Linked DNA regions of Drosophila melanogaster. The protein of the gene in region 2 purifies or fractionates together with the protein of the main gene of each other region. This does not show direct contact. Each region holds a gene or a part of one and is shown on either strand. Other genes may lie near its edges.

Region 1 (7,111 bases), on a different chromosome or scaffold from region 2:
ATATATATCAGTATATGCGCATATATACCTTTAACTGAGTGTAATATCATGAATGTAAATAAAAGAGCAGGAATAATTAAAAGCAACCATATTTTACTCGATCTATGCAACAAATAAATAACTCAGATGGAGTAAAAAACTTAAAACAACTTGCTCTTCTCACTACTTTTTAGGAGGGTTGATTGATTGATTGACTGAAGCTATTAGTTTTTTTCGATATACCTCTTCATTCTATATCAGGATCAAACTTTTTAAAATTGTCGGTCATAACTATTTCGTGTATCAACTAAAACTGCCGGCAATTATCAACTTGGGAATTAAGCAACAAATTCAAGAAAATTAAACCAAACCGAAAGCCAAACAAGAAACAAAAACTCTGATGGCAATGACAATGGCAGCTGGGAAATGGGAAATGGTGGGCGGGGGAATAATCAAGCCAAGGACATTTGGCCTCCCACCTGTTGTGTGATTACAGTCATCGCCATTAACTCGGTTGCCACATCCTCCAGAGCACCCATTTCCACCAGGTGAAACTCTTTGTTGATGTTTGTTCTGATAATTAACTTTTCAACTCTAATGTGCCGGAATGTGGGTTGCCTAAAATGGTTATAAATCCGCACATGAAACATTATTTCGGTTAATTTCATGCAGGCATTGAAAATTTAACACGAAATTGCACTTTACGGGGATAAAATTTTGGTGGGCGGCTAACGGGTTAGCATAATACGTTTAATTTTCACTGTGCAAAAGTCATTATATTCAAAATGCATGCTCTCGAATTATTCAACAACAGTGTCTGCTACTGAAATGGAATTTGAAATGTTTGGATTTCCCTTGAAAACTGAAAAACATATGAGCAGGGGAAACTTTTTCACGGAACCTGGTTACAACGATAAGAACATACATAACAAGCGCAAAACCCACTACATTTTCCAGAAATTTCACAGATTTTTTGTTTAGTTTTATTACTTTCAGCCAAAAACTTAAAAATAGTTTAAGTTTAAGGCAAACATGGAAATCTCATCGAAATTATCCTTTTGTAACCGTCAATTTGAACATATGCAGATTAGAATCAACTTTTAAGTTGACAACTTTGTTCAGTGTCATTCGCTAATGTCAAAAGTTTTGCGAAACGTTTTCGAATGATCTGGTTGTTGATGTTTTCGTTTTTGTTTTTTTCTCGCATATGTACAGAGTGTAATCGGTAGACGCCAACGTTAACGTTACTTAGTATACTTCGCAAATATTTATGCAAATAATATGCAATTACACACACACGCAAACGGCGCCTAAAAGCGCTCTGTAAACACCGAAGTTTTCCAACAAACACAAACACACCAGCAGCCAACACACACACACACACACACACACACATGTGTGCCCCACAAACACAGATGCAGAAGGAAAATCCTCTTCAGGAGGCGACAAAAACCACTTGCAACTAAAAACGCCTTAGGATTTCCATTCCTTTTTTCTCCATTCTACACTGTAAACAGTTATATCCGCCGGAAAAGCTTCAAATCGCGAATTCTTCAGTGGTAAACAAGCAACATTTTACCATATAAATTAAACAATTTTTTACCCATTTTTTTATTTATTTTTTGGTTTTAAAATACCTGTTACTCGGCAGATGTTAAAAATATTAAAATAATCGAGGTTTCTTATTAAAATTGTTCTCGAAATCATTTCTGTCAGTGTGCACCAACACAAGTATGCAAATGAAAGAGCAACAGAAACGAAAAACAATGTTAACTACTTTCCCTTCTGTCTGAGCCGCCAGCAGAATATAAACAGCCAAAACTAATGCGAAAGTTTTAATTCTTTTCTGCGGCGTTTAAATTACAGATTTTTTTGATGCCGTTTTGCCATAAATACGTGTTTACCAATTGAGAAAATTTCACCAGTTTATTATACCCCATTAAAACAGCGAAATTTTCTTAGATATTTCCTAATTTATTGTTTACTAACTAGTGTTTAAATCAGAACAATGCTTCGTTTGTGTATAAAATTCGACTGGGGTGAGGATATCTGTTTCAGAATACTGATACGAATTGGGAGTTAAAAATAGAGGTAAGAGATTAAGGAGTAGCCGTGAAAATAAATTGTAACAGCATTTAAGGGCAACTAGAACTATGAATTGAAAAATAATTAAAGAAATTCAATCCAACACCTGGCGAATTTGAAAGTCCTCCAAGTCCTCCTGCGGAATTAGCCGCAGTTTCAAATCGTTGGCCAAATGCAGAACCGCATAGAATGCCACCGACGGGGACAGCGAGTCTGACATTTTGGTGGTCAAAAGGTCGGGCAGCTTCTGATACACCTGCTGAAAACTCGCGAAACCCTTTGAATAGTGTTCGCCCTTTTTCTTGGGATGCGAGGGTATCGTCTCCTCCGGCACAGCGTTTAGCAATTGTTTCTGTATTAGAGAGTTGCAGGACTTTTTCAGATTCTTCATGTCTATAACCTTGGCTCTCTTCGCGAATGGAACAATCACTTTGGCAACCTGCAAGTAAATTATTTTATATGGTTTTTAGAATACCAGGTATGTATATATGATTTTATAGTGAAGACTCACCTGCGACGGCGCACCCTCGAACTCGGTGCCGATCTCGAAGACTGTGTTGTTGCAAGTGGCGTTCATCTGGGTGAGGCCAATCTCACCCGCGGACACGTTCATCATGCTTGCCTCGGCCGCTTGCTCCGCAGCAATCGCGGCAATAACGCTCACGTTGGCGGGAACGGCGTCGGTAAAATGCTCGTTGTTGAATAGCTCCTGGTCATTGTCATCATCGTGGTGCATATCCGCATCCATATCGATGCCAAGATCTCCACCCTCATCCGAATCAGGTTCACCTGCGCGTTTCGACAACTTTATGCTGGGAGCGGATTCGTACTTGAAGAAAAGATCCGGGTCCAATTCGAACTTGGTGGGCAATATCAGCTTTCGGGGATCCCACTTCTTTTGGAAATTCGCCTTGCGCTGCCTTATGGTGGTGTCCAGCTGTTGGAAGAAGTTTTCCGTCACATTGCCATAGTCCAAAGCCTTGGCTCTTCGGTTGGCATTCAGATGCGCTGACTTCTTCGCTCGTTGAGTGCGAATAGGCTGAGTGTCCACCTGTCCATTGGTCTGCGAGAAAGTGCTGCGCGGGCGAGTCCGCTTAAACTTCCAATGCGAGGGGCCGGCCCAAAACTGGGAGATCTGGTCCATCGGCCTGTAGGAGTACTCTAGCTTGGAATTCCCGTCTACCGGTCGCAAATCCTCGATGAACTCTGTCTGCTTACGTAGCCGACGGCAATTATTGATCACCATTTGCTCCTCGGCAGTGAGCTCTTCCAGCTCATTGGAGTCCACCTCCAGCACCAGAGGCGGTGGTCCATCCAGGTCCGGCATGGGCTCACACTCGGCATTGATGTCAAAGGCCATGGAAATCTCATTTACACACATATCGTCGGCATTATCCAGACCCTCGTCATGATCTTCATCCTGCACTACCTCGGCGGCCTTTTCATTTGCCGACTTGGGATTGGGAGCACTTGTGATGATGTAGCCCGTATGCAGCGGTCGCAGATTTGACCTTTCAGCATGTGGCAGCAGTTTGCGCATAAGATTGGTGCTCATAAGTGATGTGGCTGGCCATTGTTCCATTTCTGCATTGAGTGTAGTGTGGTCCTGGACCTCCTCGGTGGACTCTTCGCTGTTCCAAAAATTGTAGGTGGTACGCAAGCGCAATTCAGAGTCGAAACTAGGAAGAATGTTGTGCATCAGACGATTGGAAGCATTTATAGAGCCCACAGTGGAGTTCAGCTTGCCAAACACAGGATCCTGCAAGGGAGCCGTATCCAGCCGGCTGTTCAGCGTTTCTCTGTTTTTGGTCACGGTGGATATGGGTTTCTTTTGCCGTTTGGGCTTCGGTGCTGCTTCTTTTGCTGCCTGTTGCGCTGAGTCCTGACCCTCGCCAGTAGCCTGTTCACCTTGGGGGCCATCATCATCCTCGGCAGCATTTATTTGCTTATCCGTAAGAGTTCGTGCACTCAAGCCAGCTGAAATGCGCATGGCGTCCAAGTAGATGGAGTCCACACGCAGGCCGTAAACCTTGGAAGAGGCTTCTAAAGAGGAACCAGCCATCTAGGGTATAACATCATGAAATTATTACATTTACATAAACTGAATGAGGCAAAACCCACCTTGAAGTTGCTCATGCGCTTGTGATGGTGATCCAGCAAATTGGCCAACGAATCGATGAGCATCAGGTTCCAGGCGTTGTCCTTGCTCACCTTGTTGCCATTGTAGAGCTCCAAGCAATTTTTGATGGTCTCATTGTCCTCGATGGACTCCAGAGTGCTCGACCGGTGATGCTGCTGAAGGAGCGTGCGACGTCGGGCTTCCCGCCTTTCCGCCTCGTCGTCGTTAAAGGGGGTTAGCATGCGGGACACCCCCTCCTGGTAACTGCCTACTGCGGACCGCCTGAGCGGAGTTTCTAAGCGGGGCAGAGTCATCCTTTCAAGGAAGTGGATAAATCAGAGATGAAGTCAGAGAACAGCACAAGGAATTTTGGTTGCCGTAGGCTGATGGTTTTGGAGAGTGTTAATAAGCACACTCACTTTTAATAATAGCTGTGATCCCAATTCGACAGTTTTGAATTTTTTGTTTTTTGATGATTTGTTGATTGTATTTTGTCTATTTCTGTTTTTGCGCTGGTATTGGTAATAGTTTACAGTTTCTTTCAAACGACGCCGCAATTTAGGGCTGCATTTCAGTGTTGGTTAAAACTAAAGGTGTGCCAAGCTAGCTAGATAATATGGACAGGAAAATCGCTAAAGAATTAGCTATAAAGTATTGCGGAATATAATTAACTAGTATAAACATGATACATAATTTTATCATATGAGAAAAATGAAATAAACAAACTTAATTTACACCTTAAAGCTTCGAAATCGAATAAAAACACGATAGCTTACAATGGAATTTCTTTAAGTTCAGGGCTGCACAGGTCCTGCCAGTGCTGAATGGATTTCAACAATGGATGGCCGTTAAATTTCAAATACATGTACCATATTAAAGAAACTACGATCTGTAAAGGAATTAATCTGTTTCAATACTTTTAGTTTTTTATATAATTTTCAGTCCGGTAGTTAATTAGTATTTTTTCTTTTGACAATAAAGTCTTAACCTAAGCAATATTTAATTTGTAAAAACCCTTAATTTTTCCTTGGGACTCTTGCCAACACTGGCGCTGATAATCACCCCATCCCTGGAAGGCGGCAACTTTTACACACACTGCCGCAGAAATTGTAGTCCCTCGCGCAGTTCACATCGAACCAATGTCGTGATTTTTGTTAGTTTTCGTTGTTTTCGTCTGATAAACTCTAAATAACTATCAGCCAGCGCTGTGCGAAAAGCTCGATGTAATCGAATTGGGCAGAAGAAACGCTCAGAGATTCAAACCCATAGCTTCTATAGATCTATAGCTTTTCCGAAGATCGGACTCCTCGTGTATGTGTGCATTTCTGCCTGTGGTAGTGCTGGAGTAACTGGACATTTCGAATTTACGCAGTTCCAGGCAAACCTAACGGGTTTTCCAGTTCGACTTGCGGAATAGCAGGAATACGAGATTACGGGGCTACGGAGTTTCGGAGTTTTGGAATCACTATGGCACGCGACACACAAGGAACGCAGGGAACCCAGAGTCAGGCCTCCAATATCTGGACGCAGGTGGAGAGCCAGCCGATGGAGAAGATAGTCTGGGGTCGATTGTACGGCAAGAACATTAAGATCAAATCGCTGGGTACGAGTTCAAAATACCGAATCATTTATACGCATTCGTCCTTTTCTGTTGGTAACCACATTTCCTCCTGTTTTGTGTCCCCATTGCGTGTGCTCCTCATGTATTAATGACGATCCCATGCTGAACTGTTTGCAGATCTCAACAACGACGAGTTCACCGCAGGACGAGGGGAGGCCAACGACTTGATCCTCACGCTCAACGATTTGCCCGAGAAAATCCTGACGCGCATTTCCAAAGTGCATTTTATCATAAAGCGGGCAAACTGCGAACTTACCAATCCAGTTTATATTCAGGTAGGTGGAAGTTCCAAACCCAAAAGCTCTGAAGGAAGCCTTGAAAAAAAAGATAGCAAATTCAGAACCCACAAGAGCAGAATTCAAATTAAGTTTTATTTATGTTTTGTTGAGATTATCAAAAAAGGTAACTTCAATATTGAATATTTCCCACAATTAATTTACAAAAAGAAGTTACTATTCCGTATAATTCCGTATATTATTAAAATGTAGTAACCTTGTTTCCGCCCATTTCGCAGGATCTCTCACGCAACGGGACGTTTGTGAATAACGAGAAAATTGGCACAAACAGGATGCGAATCCTAAAGAATGACGACGTAATTTCCCTGTCCCACCCAACGTACAAAGGTAAGCGATCGACAAGCAGGTATAGCTATCGACAAGGACTCGCAAGTAATTTGATGTTTTGCACCTGCCCTCCCTTGTAGCCTTTGTATTCAAGGATCTCAGCCCGAATGAGTCGATCGGGCTTCCCGAGGAGATTAACAAGACGTATTATGTAAATCGCAAGCTGGGATCTGGAGCGTACGGACTGGTGCGTTTGGTCTATGACACCCGCACCTGCCAGCAGTTTGCGATGAAAATCGTTAAGAAGAATATGCTCTCTGGGGCGCGACCCAGTACCAATTTCAGTGATCCCGACCGGGTGCTGAACGAAGCCAAGATTATGAAGAATCTTTCACATCCGTGCGTGGTTCGCATGCACGACATCGTGGACAAGCCGGATTCTGTGTATATGGTGCTGGAGTTTATGCGCGGCGGCGACCTGCTTAACCGGATCATCAGCAACAAACTACTTAGCGAGGACATCTCGAAGCTTTACTTTTACCAAATGTGCCATGCCGTCAAGTACCTACACGATCGGGGTAAAACAAATTAGTTTTATTTGGGTTCGAATGTGTTGCTGATTAAGCAAGCCGTTCATTTCTGTTATGCAAATAAGTAAGTCTTCGGAATGGTCATTGAAAACGCCCTTAATTGCAAATCATTCCTGCGCCTTTACGAATTTGCTAGTACGACTACTGCGAACAC
Region 2 (7,439 bases):
GGATGCAACAGATTTCCCGACACAATCATTTGGGGATACAGGAAACTGGTGGAGGGTTGCATTAGCTGCACCGTCCTTCCCTGTGTCCAATCCCCGCCAACTCCTCCAGTGGCCGCTGCCAATTGCATCGGCGACATGGTGCTGATGGCTGTGGAGTGCTGCTGTTGCTGGCTTTGCTGCGAGTTGGCCGGACTAGCTGCTCCTCCGGCTCCGGCCGAGGCTGCTCCTCCACCGTTGGCTTCCGACAGCTGCTGCTGCAGCTGCAACTGCTGCTGAACTTCCATAATGTTGGTTGCATGCTTTAGTTCAGTTCCACTGCCACTGGTCGTGTGCGTGGGAAACTCTTGCTTCACCTGAATGGCGTAGGGATTGCTCGCATAGAACTGCTGCAGCTGCTCAGGGGATATCTGCAGTGGCACCGTGGTGGTGGCGGCCACCTGCTGGCCGGGATTCTGCGCCTTCTCCAGCGTGAGGCTGGTGTGGCGGGCAATTGAGTTGCAGTTAGTGTTGGGTGTGCTGGGAGCACTGGGCCTGTTCGGAGTGCTTGGGGTGTGGGTTTGCCTGCGGCCCGTGGGCGGAGTTCCGTGCCGATGGCTTGTGGGGGTGACTGAGCCTGATCCCGTTGCTGGGCCTGTTCCTGAAGTCGCCTGCTGCTGGGCAATGCCGGGATGCGGGGGGCTGGCCACATCGTATTTCTCGTCGAAGGTGATTCCCGCCTTCTGGGCGAGCGTTTCCAGGCACTTTAGTGGCCGCTCGAGCTGCTTGCCACCCACCTGCTGTTGTTGCTGCTGCTGGTGCGAGTGTGAGTGCTGGGAGCTGTTGTTGTTATTGTGGTTGTAGTTATGGTGGAGGGGCTTCTCGCGGATGTTCGAGTTGTCCTTCAAGGGAAGAGTGCCTCCTGCTAGAATCGCTGATGCTGAAATCCCCTGGGATGCTGTGGTGCTCACGGGTGTGGTCGTATCGCTTTCTGTGTCCGCTCTGAGGATTGAAAAAGAGAAGTTTGGCGATCAGTAAACATTTGCTCAGCAAAAAAGAGCAATGTCATTTCGGACCACACCACACGCAAACAAACTGGAAAAACAGTGTTCCTAATGGCCTTCTCTTGTCCTAGCGACAAACAATAGGAAGGCAATGCAAACACGTTGTCAGCATCCCCGTTCTGCCCCCTGCTCCCCTCCCCGCTCATGCAAAACAAGCTCTCCCAGCTGAGAATCGGACTTGACCCAAAAATAAGGTCAGCTTTCTCATCATTATTTGTTATTATTATTTATACTGGCCGTGATGTTTTGAAAACGGCCCTTAAATTAAACATTAAAAAATTAAATTTAATGATCATGGAAAACTAACATAACAAAGAGCTCAAAGAAGCTGGGGTCGGAAAAATCGAATTTTTGAAATTTGAAAGCTGGAATCGTTTGCCCATTTTTTGCCCATGTTTGCCCACCAATTAGTTTTTTTTGCCCACGTCCAGTTTTTGAGATATGAATTTTCGAAAAAGTTCGAAAATTTTCGAAAATCAAAAATTTCGCTTTTTTCAAAATTTTTTTTTTTAAATCGCAATAACATCGTTTGCCCACGTTTGCCCACCCTTTAGAATTTTGAAAAAATTTATACTTTAGAAAATATAAGGCTTTTAAGTTTACCTCGGTCTAATCAGAGAGTAAATCGTTTGCCCATCTCTTAAAACCAAATATTATCAACAAAAAAGGTTTGCCCAACCATTATTATTAGTTTTTATCGTTTGCCCACCCTTTAAAAAACCTTTAACAAAAATTTTTTTTCGATTGCCCACATTTAAAATACACCCAATTTCGTTAGCCCACCTCTTTAAAATAAAAATTTCCAAAAAAAACGTTTGCCCACCATTTAAAACTAAATAATTTCGTTTGCCCATCCTTCAAAATTCATTTTTAACGTTTGCCCACCCTTTAAAAATAAATTATTTATTTTTAAAGGATGGGCAAACGAAATTATTTAGTTTTAAAAGGTGGGCAATCGAAATTATTTAGTTTTAAGAGTGGGCAAACGAAAAAAACAAATTTTAAAGGGTGGGCAAACGAAATAATTTATTTTTAAAGGGTGGGCAAACGTTAAAAATGAATTTTAAAGGATGGGCAAACGAAATTATTTACTTTTAAAAGGTGGGCAATCGAAATTATTTAGTTTTAAGAGTGGGCAAACGAAAAAAACAAATTTTAAAGGGTGGGCAAACGAAATAATTTATTTTTAAAGGGTGGGCAAACGTTAAAAATGAATTTTGAAGGATGGGCAAACGAAATTATTTAGTTTTAAATGGTGGGCAAACGTTTTTTTTGGAAATTTTTATTTTAAAGAGGTGGGCTAACGAAATTGGGTGTATTTTAAATGTGGGCAATCGAAAAAAAATTTTTGTTAAAGGTTTTTTAAAGGGTGGGCAAACGATAAAAACTAATAATAATGGTTGGGCAAACCTTTTTTGTTGATAATATTTGGTTTTAAGAGATGGGCAAACGATTTACTCTCTGATTAGACCGAGGTAAACTTAAAAGCCTTATATTTTCTAAAGTATAAATTTTTTCAAAATTCTAAAGGGTGGGCAAACGTGGGCAAACGATGTTATTGCGATTTAAAAAAAAAAATTTTGAAAAAAGCGAAATTTTTGATTTTCGAAAATTTTCGAACTTTTTCGAAAATTCATATCTCAAAAACTGGACGTGGGCAAAAAAAACTAATTGGTGGGCAAACATGGGCAAAAAATGGGCAAACGATTCCAGCTTTCAAATTTCAAAAATTCGATTTTTCCGACCCCAGCTTCTTTGAGCTATAACAAAGTGATATCCGTTTTTTTTTTTTTTTTTTTTGTTTAAGCAAATATGGCTACTTGGTAAATACAAAAATCTGGTTTTAGTCATTCAAAAAAGTGTGAGACAAATGCGGGAACTAGCAAACAAAAACGCTCTTATTAAATAATCATATTTACAATGTAAACATAAAAGATGACTTTCGAGAGTGGCAGAAACAAACGCGGGAAAAGTAAATATGACTCTGAGGTAACGATCACCTTTAACTCGGGATAATATCAAAACTATAGTTCCGACTTAATCACAAGGTCAAGCCTGAAGATATGTACCATGTCATTTCAATTTCTAATTAAGAATTGTGTACCCTGGTTAACTTTTAGGTAGAGATCCCGAGCCCGATCCCGATCCCAATCCCTATCCCGAAAATATTCGTTCTTTTTGTGGACCTTTTTCCGAACCCGCCCTTTTTCAGCGACAATGAACATTTGGCCAACTACTTAACGGACTTTCGCATTCAACGAATGAAGAGAAAGGAGCTGCCTGACAGCCTTCGCATTTCACATCGATCTTTATCTATGGGTTTTCGAATTTCCATGAGCAGCATGGTAGTCGCACTCGTTTTCCACGTTCAACGTTCGACAACAACAGCCCGGAAAACTAATTTAGCCACGCAGCTGGCACCGTTCGATATTATTGTAAAAGGGCAATAAAGCCGATGCGAATTGCAGGCGAAGTTCAAGGACCTTTCCATCGAAATGCTAAAAATGCTGACAGTTGGGAGCAACACGAGATGGTTAGTGTTTTATACAGTAGTGCTCAAGCTAATAGGATTAGTGGACAAACGTAAATGGCTGAGTACTCCACATGGTAAGGATGTTTTTCTAGAAATAATTAACTAATATTACTTCCTGAATCAGTTCCCTGATATAGTTCAACTATGAATGATCTAACTGGAGAAGCGTGGTTTCAAGGTCCTATTGCATTGACCGCGACTGTGATGCCCGGCAGTCCAGAGAGCCTGATCCCCACCCCTTTCCATCGCCCAAAAAGCCCGCAAGGCCCATAAACAGCAAGAGCATAAAAAGCATGAGTGCAAAAAAGACAGAAAAAGGAGCGAAATGGGTTATAAAAGCCGGTAAAAGCATTTTGGCAACCCTCATGTCGCTGCTACCCCGTAAAAGAAAGGGAATATGGGGTGGGTGGTCCAGAGGGGTGGAATACTCGCCACAGGGTGGTGGGTGCGCGTGTGCAAGTGTGTGTAAGTTAAGCTCACGGCCGCACGCTGCGAAAAACCTCTTGAGAGAAAAAAAAAGACTGGTTTCCATGTCGCCATGGAGTAGGGTACATACATTCGAGCTCGAGTGTGTGAGAACCCCCGTAAAACAGCCTGCTTGCAATCGGGGGGAAAGCAGTAGCGGTGGGAAAGGAATGATCAAAATGCGGGGCAGCACACACACACACAGACACGCCGATAGGGGTGCGGGGGAAAGGTCGCGCTCAAATCAAACATCACCTCCAGTGGATTCGGGCGTGCAAAATGCGCGGGAGCGAGCGAGGAGGGGGGGGGCCTTGACAGCCTATTGATTGATACACAAACGAGTTCTGCAATCGAAGAAGATGAAACAAATGTGAGTGAACGAGATGAGGCTATGGCCAGGCCGTACACACAGTCACATAAACTCAGAGCGAGTGCGGTGTAGCGTAGGTGTAAACAGAGTTGTCAACTATTTATTTACAAAAACTGTTGTGCTTTAAACGAGTCTAAAATAATTTAATCATTCTGGTTTATTTTCTTGCCACGAACAATTTAAGTTTGTAGGTAAAAATTAGCATTCAGTGATAACGGACTGTAAGAAATATAAAAGTATTCAATAAAATTGAATCTTCGTTAAACCGGAACACAGATTTCTCAGATTCGTTACAGCTGACAACCCTAGACTGTTTATTTCGGCAGAGTAAAGCAAAATGTAAGCAGGGTTGCCGCAGCAACAACAAAAACTGATACCTTTCGATATAGAACTTTTGTTTTCTTTATGTTGCTTTGTTGCGCGAGTGAGAGAGGGTTGCACGGAGAGACGGAGAAATCAACCACCACCAGCCGACGCACACACACAAATGCAGACACGGGCATGCATTGCGAAATTCGTTGTTAAAAATGCAACAACACCGCACAGCGGGGGGCGTGTGTCGGTTGGATGATGAATGGCGGAGAGGGCGACGGAGGGGAAACTCGTTTTGGGTTTCATGAATTTATTTTCTTTTCTTGGCCCGCCAGTCGAGCGCATTTTATGATGACAGAGAGCACAGAATATCCACTCGCTGCATTTTTACGAGCATTATGATTAACGTGTCATTATTATCCGAATACGATATAGAATCAATATCCAATGCTCAAGAGCAGATTAAACCAAAAATTGTAAACAAAAAGCACAAGTGCAGGCAGTACAAAAGCAGTGATAAAAATAAAACCAAACTAAACAAAAAATACCTTTTTTGCATAAACTTCAATGCACGACGATCCATTATTCAAAATAAAAACAATATTTATAATAAATTATAGGTATGCATGCGTCGGCTTAGGCGTTTTGTTTTTGTTTTCGGCGGCGGCGGAGACACTCGTGGTTGTTTTTGTTATAGTCGGCATGGCGCTTTCTTTTTAGTCCTCAGTTTCTTCTCTTTTTGCTATTTGCCGTATTATATTGTACATTAACAAACACGCACATGTGTGAAGGCAATAAATATAAACATACAACAGGCAACACCAAACATATACATATGTATGTAACGTGGAACGCAAGACAACAAAAGTACACAAAACGAATACGAAAATCCGACAAAAGTCCCAGTGTCTCGTGTGTGTGTGTGTGTGTGTGTGTGCTTGCGTGTAAATGAGTGTTTCGTGCACGGGCAGTAGTAATTAGTACAACCTCCACTCACAGTCACTCCACTTCAACTTCTCCCCGCTGGCTGCAGGCACTTTTCTTTTTCTCAGTGTAACGACTAAGCACCTGTGCACGCGATCTTACATAAAATTAAGCCACAGTCACAGCACTAAGTACTTGTTTTAACTGCACTGCCTACGTCGCCAGCGACGATTCGCCAGCTAGGGGCTCCACTGTGGCGCGGCATCACTTTTTATGTCTGCACATCTGCACTAGCTAATCAACAGCACCGTTAGCTCTTTTTGAAAAAAATTTAACAAATTTGCAGGGTATCCAGTGAGTATGTCGCGTCGGCGGGTTTTTTCTTCGTTCAATACACATGCGATGCGGTATGCGACACATACGACACCACACCAACACGAACGCAGAGAGAGCAGAGCGCAAGAACCGTACACCGCCAAGTTAAGTTTCAAACTGAACCGCGCGCCACAGCGACAACTCTACTTTTCGTTCGGATCGGAAACAAAATGAGCGCATGTGCGCTGAATATGTGTGTGTGTTGGTGTGCAGCTGGATCCGCTTCTCTCTTCTCAGATGCCGTTGCGACTAATAACTTTTCTCTATACCGAAATGCACGGGTGCGAGTGCGACGCCACTAGGAGTGGCCCTGGCCAGTTAGCGCGTGCGAGAGGGATGCCGTGCGTTCGCTTGGGGTTGGAATGAAACGGCAGCAGTTCGTTTGACAAAGCAAAACCAAAACGAGTAAAAAAAACAGGAAGACTACAGCTGGCGGGCATGTGTATGCGTGCTCAACCACCCCGACTGAAAGCCCCCTTCCGTTGCTGAAAACATAACATGGTCTGGTGACTCGACTTTCAAATACCCCTTTTTCATATACCATTCCTCGCTAACTTCAGTCGTATCCTTAAAATGAAAACCCTTCTTAAATATTTATTTGTAAGTTATTGGTGCTGACTACTAACACAAATTCCAGTTAAAACCAAGTGCCCAGTATACCCTTTTACTTTGTGGGTACCGGGTATGTACATACATAAATACGCGCGAAGCCAGTTTTATGTGTGTACACTCGAATGTCTACCGCCCGGCCCGACTCGACAACGATTGTTGCTATACTTCATCTTCTTTTTTCGTGCCATCACAACCACCACCACTACGACTACCTTCCTACCTCTACCTCCTTTCTCATTCCTTCTTTTTCACATCAGATCGGGTCGGATCGGCTTTACCTTATTATTAGTTGTGCTTGTCAGTAACACACGGGTGTGTCGGTTGAGAAGGGGAGGATAGCGTATGCGCAGAGGCAGAGCGAAATCTTATTCTCTCCACCCCATTGAACAGTGGTAAGCGATCCATTATTATTGGATTGCTTTACAGTTGCAGTTTGAGAACCAAGAGTACAGTGGGTCAATTTTTTAGAACAGCAATTTTTCCAAACTTTTTATACATATAAACAATGTTACGATAAGTAAAATGAAAACGTTTAGTAAAATAGAATTATATAATAGACATACGTATTGAGTTGATTTATTAAGTTTTAAGTTTATTAATGTTTCAAATATCCACCACTCATGACCCACTGTGCCTGTCTTTGTCATTTCATTTTTCATTTTGTGCCAGCCCGTGCGTGTGTGCATGCACCATTTGTAGTATGTGTGCGTTGCTTTGGGCTCTTGTTGGTCTTCTTCTTACTCTTCCCACCTCATCCAACAACAACGTCGCTGAGCCCCACAAATGTTTTCATTCCGATTAGCTTTTT
Region 3 (6,681 bases), on a different chromosome or scaffold from region 2:
GATAAATACAAGCTATTCCATTGTCCTGTTTGCGTTAATATATGGCCGTAATGCTCAATCTACTGGTTAAAAAATAACCGGAAGTTTTCGTTAAGCTGTGTCTCTCTTTTGTTACTTTCTCTTTGCGATTTTGACACTTGGCATTGCTTCTCCCAATATAACTGTAACTGGCTAGCTTTTATCGCCTCTCATAGTTTTGACGTTTTCTCTGAGCTTTCTCTCATCGGCATTTCCGAGTTTTCTCTTTATGACTTTGACATTTACCGTTGTCCGTCGCTCCCGTCCGGTTGTGTGGCACGTTTTTCTGAATGAATCCGCTATTCGGGGCTTTCGCCTGGAGATGGGGTGGTTTGCCGTTGCTATTATTATTTCCTATATGCTATAAGCTTAATATTTTCGCCAGCCTTATCAGTTGGCCAGTTTTCCTAATCGCTATTCGTTAGTTTTTCGCTCCGTACAATTGAACTAGGTATTGGTTTTTCCCCTTTTTTGTTCGGTTGTTTGGTTGCTTGGTGTTTTGTTTGAAGCCACTAATTAAATATCATCTATGTAAATTGTAACTAGCTAAACATATTGACTAATATTTTATAGGTTATGCGCTAATTGGTGCTGTTTTCACTATGAATTAAACATTAATCTATTTATAGGGTTCGCAACAATTTGCTTGGTGTTTTTCTTTATGTTTTGGTTAAAGCTTTTGGTTAATTTCTCGTTTTCGTCGTTAAGTGTGAAGATTCTCCATGCGTTTCGCGTCCCTCGTCGAAAATATTGCGATTGATTTCAAGGGAATGGGTGTTATTTCAGTTGTTGGTCTTGGTGTTGTTGTTATTTCACTATCACAGCATAAATAAAATAATGTCATCGTCGTTGCCGCCCCCGCCACGCGAACCCTCGGCCAACATACAACTGGCATAAAATATCTGCAGTCGGCCACTTCCTTTCACATCCATCCTGAGCTTTCGGCGCTCTTGTGCTTTCTCACACTCTCTCCCGCACTTTCTCTCCCTCTTGAGGATGTGGCATTTGAAGAGTTCGAAGAGGGTAACTAGTTCAGTTGTAATCAAGTTAATTATCAAACTTAATTGAATAGGAATATGGGGCGAAGTATATGTGGCAATTTGTGATACAATAAGTGAAGCAGGACAAAGGAAAATCAAAACTCAATATGGGATGAAAGCAACACAACGATAAACGTTAACGAAAGTATAATATTTCGTTACCTGGAATTCAATTCAACATGCAGTTTAAAAAGAATACTGTACAAAGGATTCATTAAAAATGCGCTTATTAAAATTTGATTAAAAGCTATTTTATATTTAAGCTAATTGGTTTAACTTCTCGCCGGTTTAGTAATTTGTAGAAACGATAAAAGAAAATAGTGTATAAGGCAACAGCGCCAAAAAAATGTTTTCTAAAACATTTATATACCCCATTTATAAATAATAGAAAAATGTCAAGAAATTCTGAAAATATTTTAACAAAACATTTACATTTTAAAAACGCACAATTAGGTGTGTCTAGTCATCAAAGTTTTGAGTCTTTGCTAATTTTGCCAGGAAAGGGTGTGCGACACGGCTACTTGCTAAGATATGATCCCAGTTCTTTGTAGCACGGTAACTCTGCACCTCGCAGCACTATCGATTGTTTACATGAAAATAATCGAGTCGGACGACTATCGACGTACGCAGAATTGTAAACCAGAAGTTAATTGCAAATAAAACGAATAATAAAACGTTCCGAGAAGATTATTAATTAAAAATGACTGGTCGAGGCAAGGGGAGTAAGGGGAAGTTGGGGCGCGACAATGCGACCGACGATCCAGTCGATCTAGTGTACGCGGCTGAGAAAATCATCCAAAAGCGCGTTAAGAAGGTGAGATGAGCGTAAACAAATTCGAAAAAGGCGACCAAAACGGGATGCTCCGCTAAAAATGGCAAATGCAATATGCGCAGCACACGCAGGATATATGTATAGTCCACAAGGTCACATGTCCTTCGACATTTTTTGGCCAGAGGACATCTGCTGCTGCAACCACCATTTGCACGATGCATGTGTGTGTGCGTAGTGCGTTCGTATGTGTGTGTGTGTGTATGTGAGGCGTGTTTTTGTTTCGCTGAATGGAAAATCAATTAGTTGTCTAAGAAAATGCAATCCACCCCCACTCCTTCACTTACTCGATTTTCCAGGGCGTCGTGGAGTACCGTGTCAAGTGGAAGGGCTGGAACCAGCGCTACAACACCTGGGAACCGGAGGTAAACATCCTGGATCGCCGCCTCATCGACATCTACGAACAAACGAACAAATCCTCCGGAACTCCCTCCAAGCGAGGCATTAAGAAGAAGGAGAAAGAACCCGATCCGGAGCCGGAATCCGAGGAGGATGAGTACACCTTCACCGAAAACGATGTGGACACGCATCAAGCCACCACCTCATCGGCTACCCACGATAAGGAGTCGAAGAAGGAGAAGAAGCACCATCACCACCACCACCATCATCACCACATCAAGTCCGAACGCAACAGTGGACGGCGCTCGGAATCTCCGCTGACCCACCATCATCATCACCACCACCACGAGTCCAAGCGTCAGCGCATTGATCACAGCTCCTCCTCGAACAGCAGCTTCACGCACAACTCATTTGTCCCCGAGCCGGACAGCAACTCCTCCAGCTCCGAGGATCAGCCGCTGATCGGCACCAAACGCAAAGCCGAGGTGCTCAAGGAATCGGGCAAGATTGGAGTTACGATTAAGACCTCCCCAGATGGCCCCACTATTAAGCCTCAGCCGACCCAGCAGGTAACTCCCAGCCAGCAGCAGCCCTTCCAGGATCAGCAGCAAGCGGAAAAGATTGCCAGCGAGGCTGCAACGCAGCTGAAATCTGAGCAGCAGGCCACCCCACTGGCCACAGAAGCCATAAACACAACGCCCGCAGAGTCCGGAGCTGAGGAAGAAGAAGTAGCCAACGAGGAAGGCAACCAACAGGCGCCACAGGTTCCTTCCGAGAACAATAACATACCAAAACCGTGCAACAACCTGGCTATCAACCAGAAACAGCCGCTTACTCCTCTTTCGCCGCGTGCCCTTCCGCCGCGCTTCTGGCTGCCGGCCAAATGCAACATATCCAACCGGGTGGTGATCACAGACGTCACCGTAAACCTGGAGACCGTTACCATACGCGAGTGCAAGACGGAGCGCGGGTTTTTTCGTGAGCGCGACATGAAAGGCGATTCGTCGCCAGTAGCTTGAGCTTCGACCCAAACAAATGTCGGGAAAACAAACCGGAAAACTGATACAATTGTAAATAGACAAACCAAAATGCGAGAAAGTTGAGAGAAGAATTATGCAGAGAAATCCACACTAAATGTTGCTAAGCATTTTCTCTTTAGGACTTAACTAATTTATTGTATTTATTTTTAGCGTAGGTTTTAGTTTGTTGTTTTATTACAATGTTTAATGTGCAAGAGTAGTTTAAGCAAGCGCAAGTCGGGTATTTACTAAATGACTTTATATATACATAAATTTTCGCTCATTTTTTTTATCAGCATTGCAATGATTGAATATTTTCCTATTTAAATTAAAAATTTATTTTTCTGCAATATCACTTTTTAAGATTAATCTGGTTGTCATTTAGTGAATAGGCGAAATGCTGCGGCTGCTTAACTTGCCAATGCAATAGATTGTAAAACTTGCAGCGTAGATAAATATGTATGTACATGTTACATATATTTACCACATATTGTATATTTTTTATAACACTTTGAATCTGATTGAAAACAACACAAGACACTCAAATGCTAAGAAAACTCCATGCGAAACCGAAGCAATTGTTGATTACGCTTACAAATATATACAATAGAAGATGCATATATTCGAGTAGTCACCACCACGTTTGCCGAGTTGGCTATCCCAATGTTGTAATTGTTTAATATTATATTTCCTCGCGCCGACTGATTTTACAAAAGAAAACCCCAAAAACATATATACAATTGTAGATTTACAAATATTTTTAGACTTTAGCTAACCAAAATCTCTACGTAATATTTATTTTAACATGTTCTCTTAGCAGTCATTCAAGACTCAAGTGCTGCCTTTATGGGTTCAGAGCGGTGCAGTGCACAGATAATTCCAAATCGAGCCCATAGACTCATTACTTAAATCCTATGTCTATTTCACAATTTTTTTTCACGCTATGAAACAGAAAACTACGTGGGAGCTGCGGGGAATTTACAAACTCCTGCTTATTTCCCATGGGTCCTGTGCGTATGTTTCTATTTGTCTTAGCTCTTTATTGGCTAGTTTTAGTTACGGCGTAAATTCCACACAAAACAGCAATTCAAAGCGTATATTTTAAGCTTTTTAATATAGTTGTAAAGTCCCAAATGAGAAGACTTTACTCGTTGAGTTTTTGTAAGAAACTGATTTTATTTGGAATTATCTTCGGTTTAAATAGGTGACATGAGAATCGCATCTTAAAGTAAATGGCCTACGCAGAGGCCTAAGTAAATAGTCCCCGCCTTATCGAGGTCCCACGCTCGGGCACATCTGCCTATCTTGAGCGGCGAGGACCTTATCTGTGGTCTCCCACTAAGGGACTATTTTAGGAGGCGGGGAACGATCTCAAGTGACTGACTCATGTAGTGTGCACTTAAATTACATGTTTTTGAGCAATGCACCCATGTCGCCTTAGATAACAAAATCCTAAATATAATTTATCGCTCTCGATTCATTTACATAAGATATGAACGGAGCCCAAAATTGTAAGTCTTTAAATATATTCGTGTTCATGTGTGAACATTCTGCCAAAGGGCCAGCAAGCTGAGATGTACATTAGTATATTAGTTGCATTTATAACAGTAGTGGACTGTATTTATTTGATATATGTTCATTTATTTTGCAACTAAGATTTCAATGGGCCTAGTTTTTCTGGCTTTTAATTTTATTGGATTACAATTATGGTTTATATTATTTTTAATTCAACAATTTGTACTCAATTAACTTATTTTAAACATTTTGCTTTTTCTATGTAGAAGTACATTTTCTATTAGTGGACTGTATATTTTTATTTGTTATATTATTTTATTGTTTATTTACTATTGATATTTATAGTACTGGCAACGGACCTGCAAAGGTTATTGCTTGCATTCTTTGTTGCACAGCACATTTCCGTATGAAATATATTATTAATACTATCATTAGTATTAAAGCAATAATTAATCCAGCATGTCCGGAAATATGATGGAAATGTAAATCTTTCAATTTTTGATGGTTCTCTTTCATAAATTTAATTTCATTATTCAATCGTTCAAATTCCTCAGTATGATTTAATATTGATAGTTTCAGCGGATCCCAAATAATCTTCGGCACTCCACTAACTTCTCCTATATAAGGTGTTGATAATAATTCTTCACTTTCGGACTGAATGTTATGGTGGGCAACTAGAATTTTATCGTCGGTTCTTGCCGTACAATATGGCGCAATGCTTAAAACTCCTTGCTGAGGCAAATCAAACAATTCAATTTGAGAGCCAGTACATTGCAGACGGACTTTTGAATTCGCAGGAACCTTAAACAACCAACTACTTTTCTTTTCTAACTCTACCCAGTAACTTTTAGAGTCGACTACTGTTTTATAGATGCAGTTCGCCGCTTTATCTGGCTTTAGAGGCTGAATCTCACATGCATTATCATTCGCTGAATTCCAGGGCCAACTTCCTTTGCATATTCTCTTATTTAGTTGCCATTTCTGACATTGATTTAATGTGGCTTCCGTCATTATGTGATAGGAATCTATCTCAAAATTATAAATTAAATATTCGGACGTTGTATGCACCATTATTATCCGATCTTCATTTCGAATTGGCACCGGAATAAGCCTGAACAATTTGGATGGATGCTGCTAAACAGAGGCACTTTTGCACTAATGATCAATTTATCGTCGATGAATAAACCCCTGGCTGTTAACAGTGTATACACCTCCTTAAGTTCCGTACCTGACCGTTTTCCTGGAATTACTAGGTTCTCCGAAAGACTCTGCTGAATTTTGGCAATTTCTTTTTTAAGCTGATTTGGCCTGAGAATATTTGTATTTAGCCTACCGTGATTAATATCAATCAACAGGCTTATAATGCCTGCTTGAATTTTTTCGCCTTCTTCAATCAATGAGTGTAGCTGTTTCGTAATCATAAAGAATTTTATTGATTCCTTATAAACATAATAATTTTCTTTAAGAACTTCTGTCATGTTCTCAATTCTTATTTGCATACTTCTAAAATTGGAGTTAACATCTTCTGTTGTTCTCTTTAATAGATTAGAAGTTGAATCAACCACAGATGTTTGTTTTTGAATTAGTTTATCAAGGTTGTTCTGGTTATCTAACAAATTCTTCATATTTTCTTCTAATTGCTCTCTATCATCTTCATCCATTATACCAAATAAAATATGATACAAGGAACCCATAAATTCGAAAGGAGCACGCTTGCTTCTAGATCTAGACTGTATCATAAACAATTTATTGTTTTCTTCAAGTTCCGATAACTGACTTTGCATATTATCTAAAACTAGACTACATTGCTCTTCAAAGCTATGAAGTCTTTCGCAAACTTTCCTCATACTTTGTATAAGCGCATTACCCTTTGTTAACATTTTAAAATATGGATCCATTTTATAATAGATAACCAAATTCC

The links. The genes of interacting proteins can lie anywhere in the genome.
Region 1: the proteins of ph-p (region 2) and barr purify together in Drosophila melanogaster (affinity purification with western blotting, with the first as the bait; one study listed by BioGRID). This does not show direct contact.
Region 3: the proteins of ph-p (region 2) and Pc purify together in Drosophila melanogaster (affinity purification with western blotting; 18 studies listed by BioGRID, with this or other methods). This does not show direct contact.

What each region holds. Positions count from the first base shown.
Region 1 is NT_033779.5:20,056,227-20,063,337, forward strand, and holds barr (barren), read right to left. Parts: upstream 5,145-7,111; 5' UTR 4,960-5,144; intron 4,791-4,959; 5' UTR 4,498-4,790; coding exon 4,186-4,497; intron 4,127-4,185; coding exon 2,576-4,126; intron 2,504-2,575; coding exon 2,159-2,503; 3' UTR 1,937-2,158; downstream 1-1,936. Other genes in the region: lok (loki), read left to right, coding at 5,651-5,837, 5,922-6,079, 6,319-6,427, 6,508-6,945.
Region 2 is NC_004354.4:2,130,749-2,138,187, forward strand, and holds the start of ph-p (polyhomeotic proximal), read right to left. Parts: upstream 5,875-7,439; 5' UTR 5,304-5,874; coding exon 5,269-5,303; intron 979-5,268; coding exon 1-978. UniProt on the Drosophila melanogaster protein: Polycomb group (PcG) protein. PcG proteins act by forming multiprotein complexes, which are required to maintain the transcriptionally repressive state of homeotic genes throughout development.
Region 3 is NT_037436.4:21,312,988-21,319,668, reverse strand, and holds the start of Pc (polycomb), read left to right. Parts: upstream 1-1,648; 5' UTR 1,649-1,758; coding exon 1,759-1,872; intron 1,873-2,186; coding exon 2,187-3,245; 3' UTR 3,246-4,363; intron 4,364-6,681.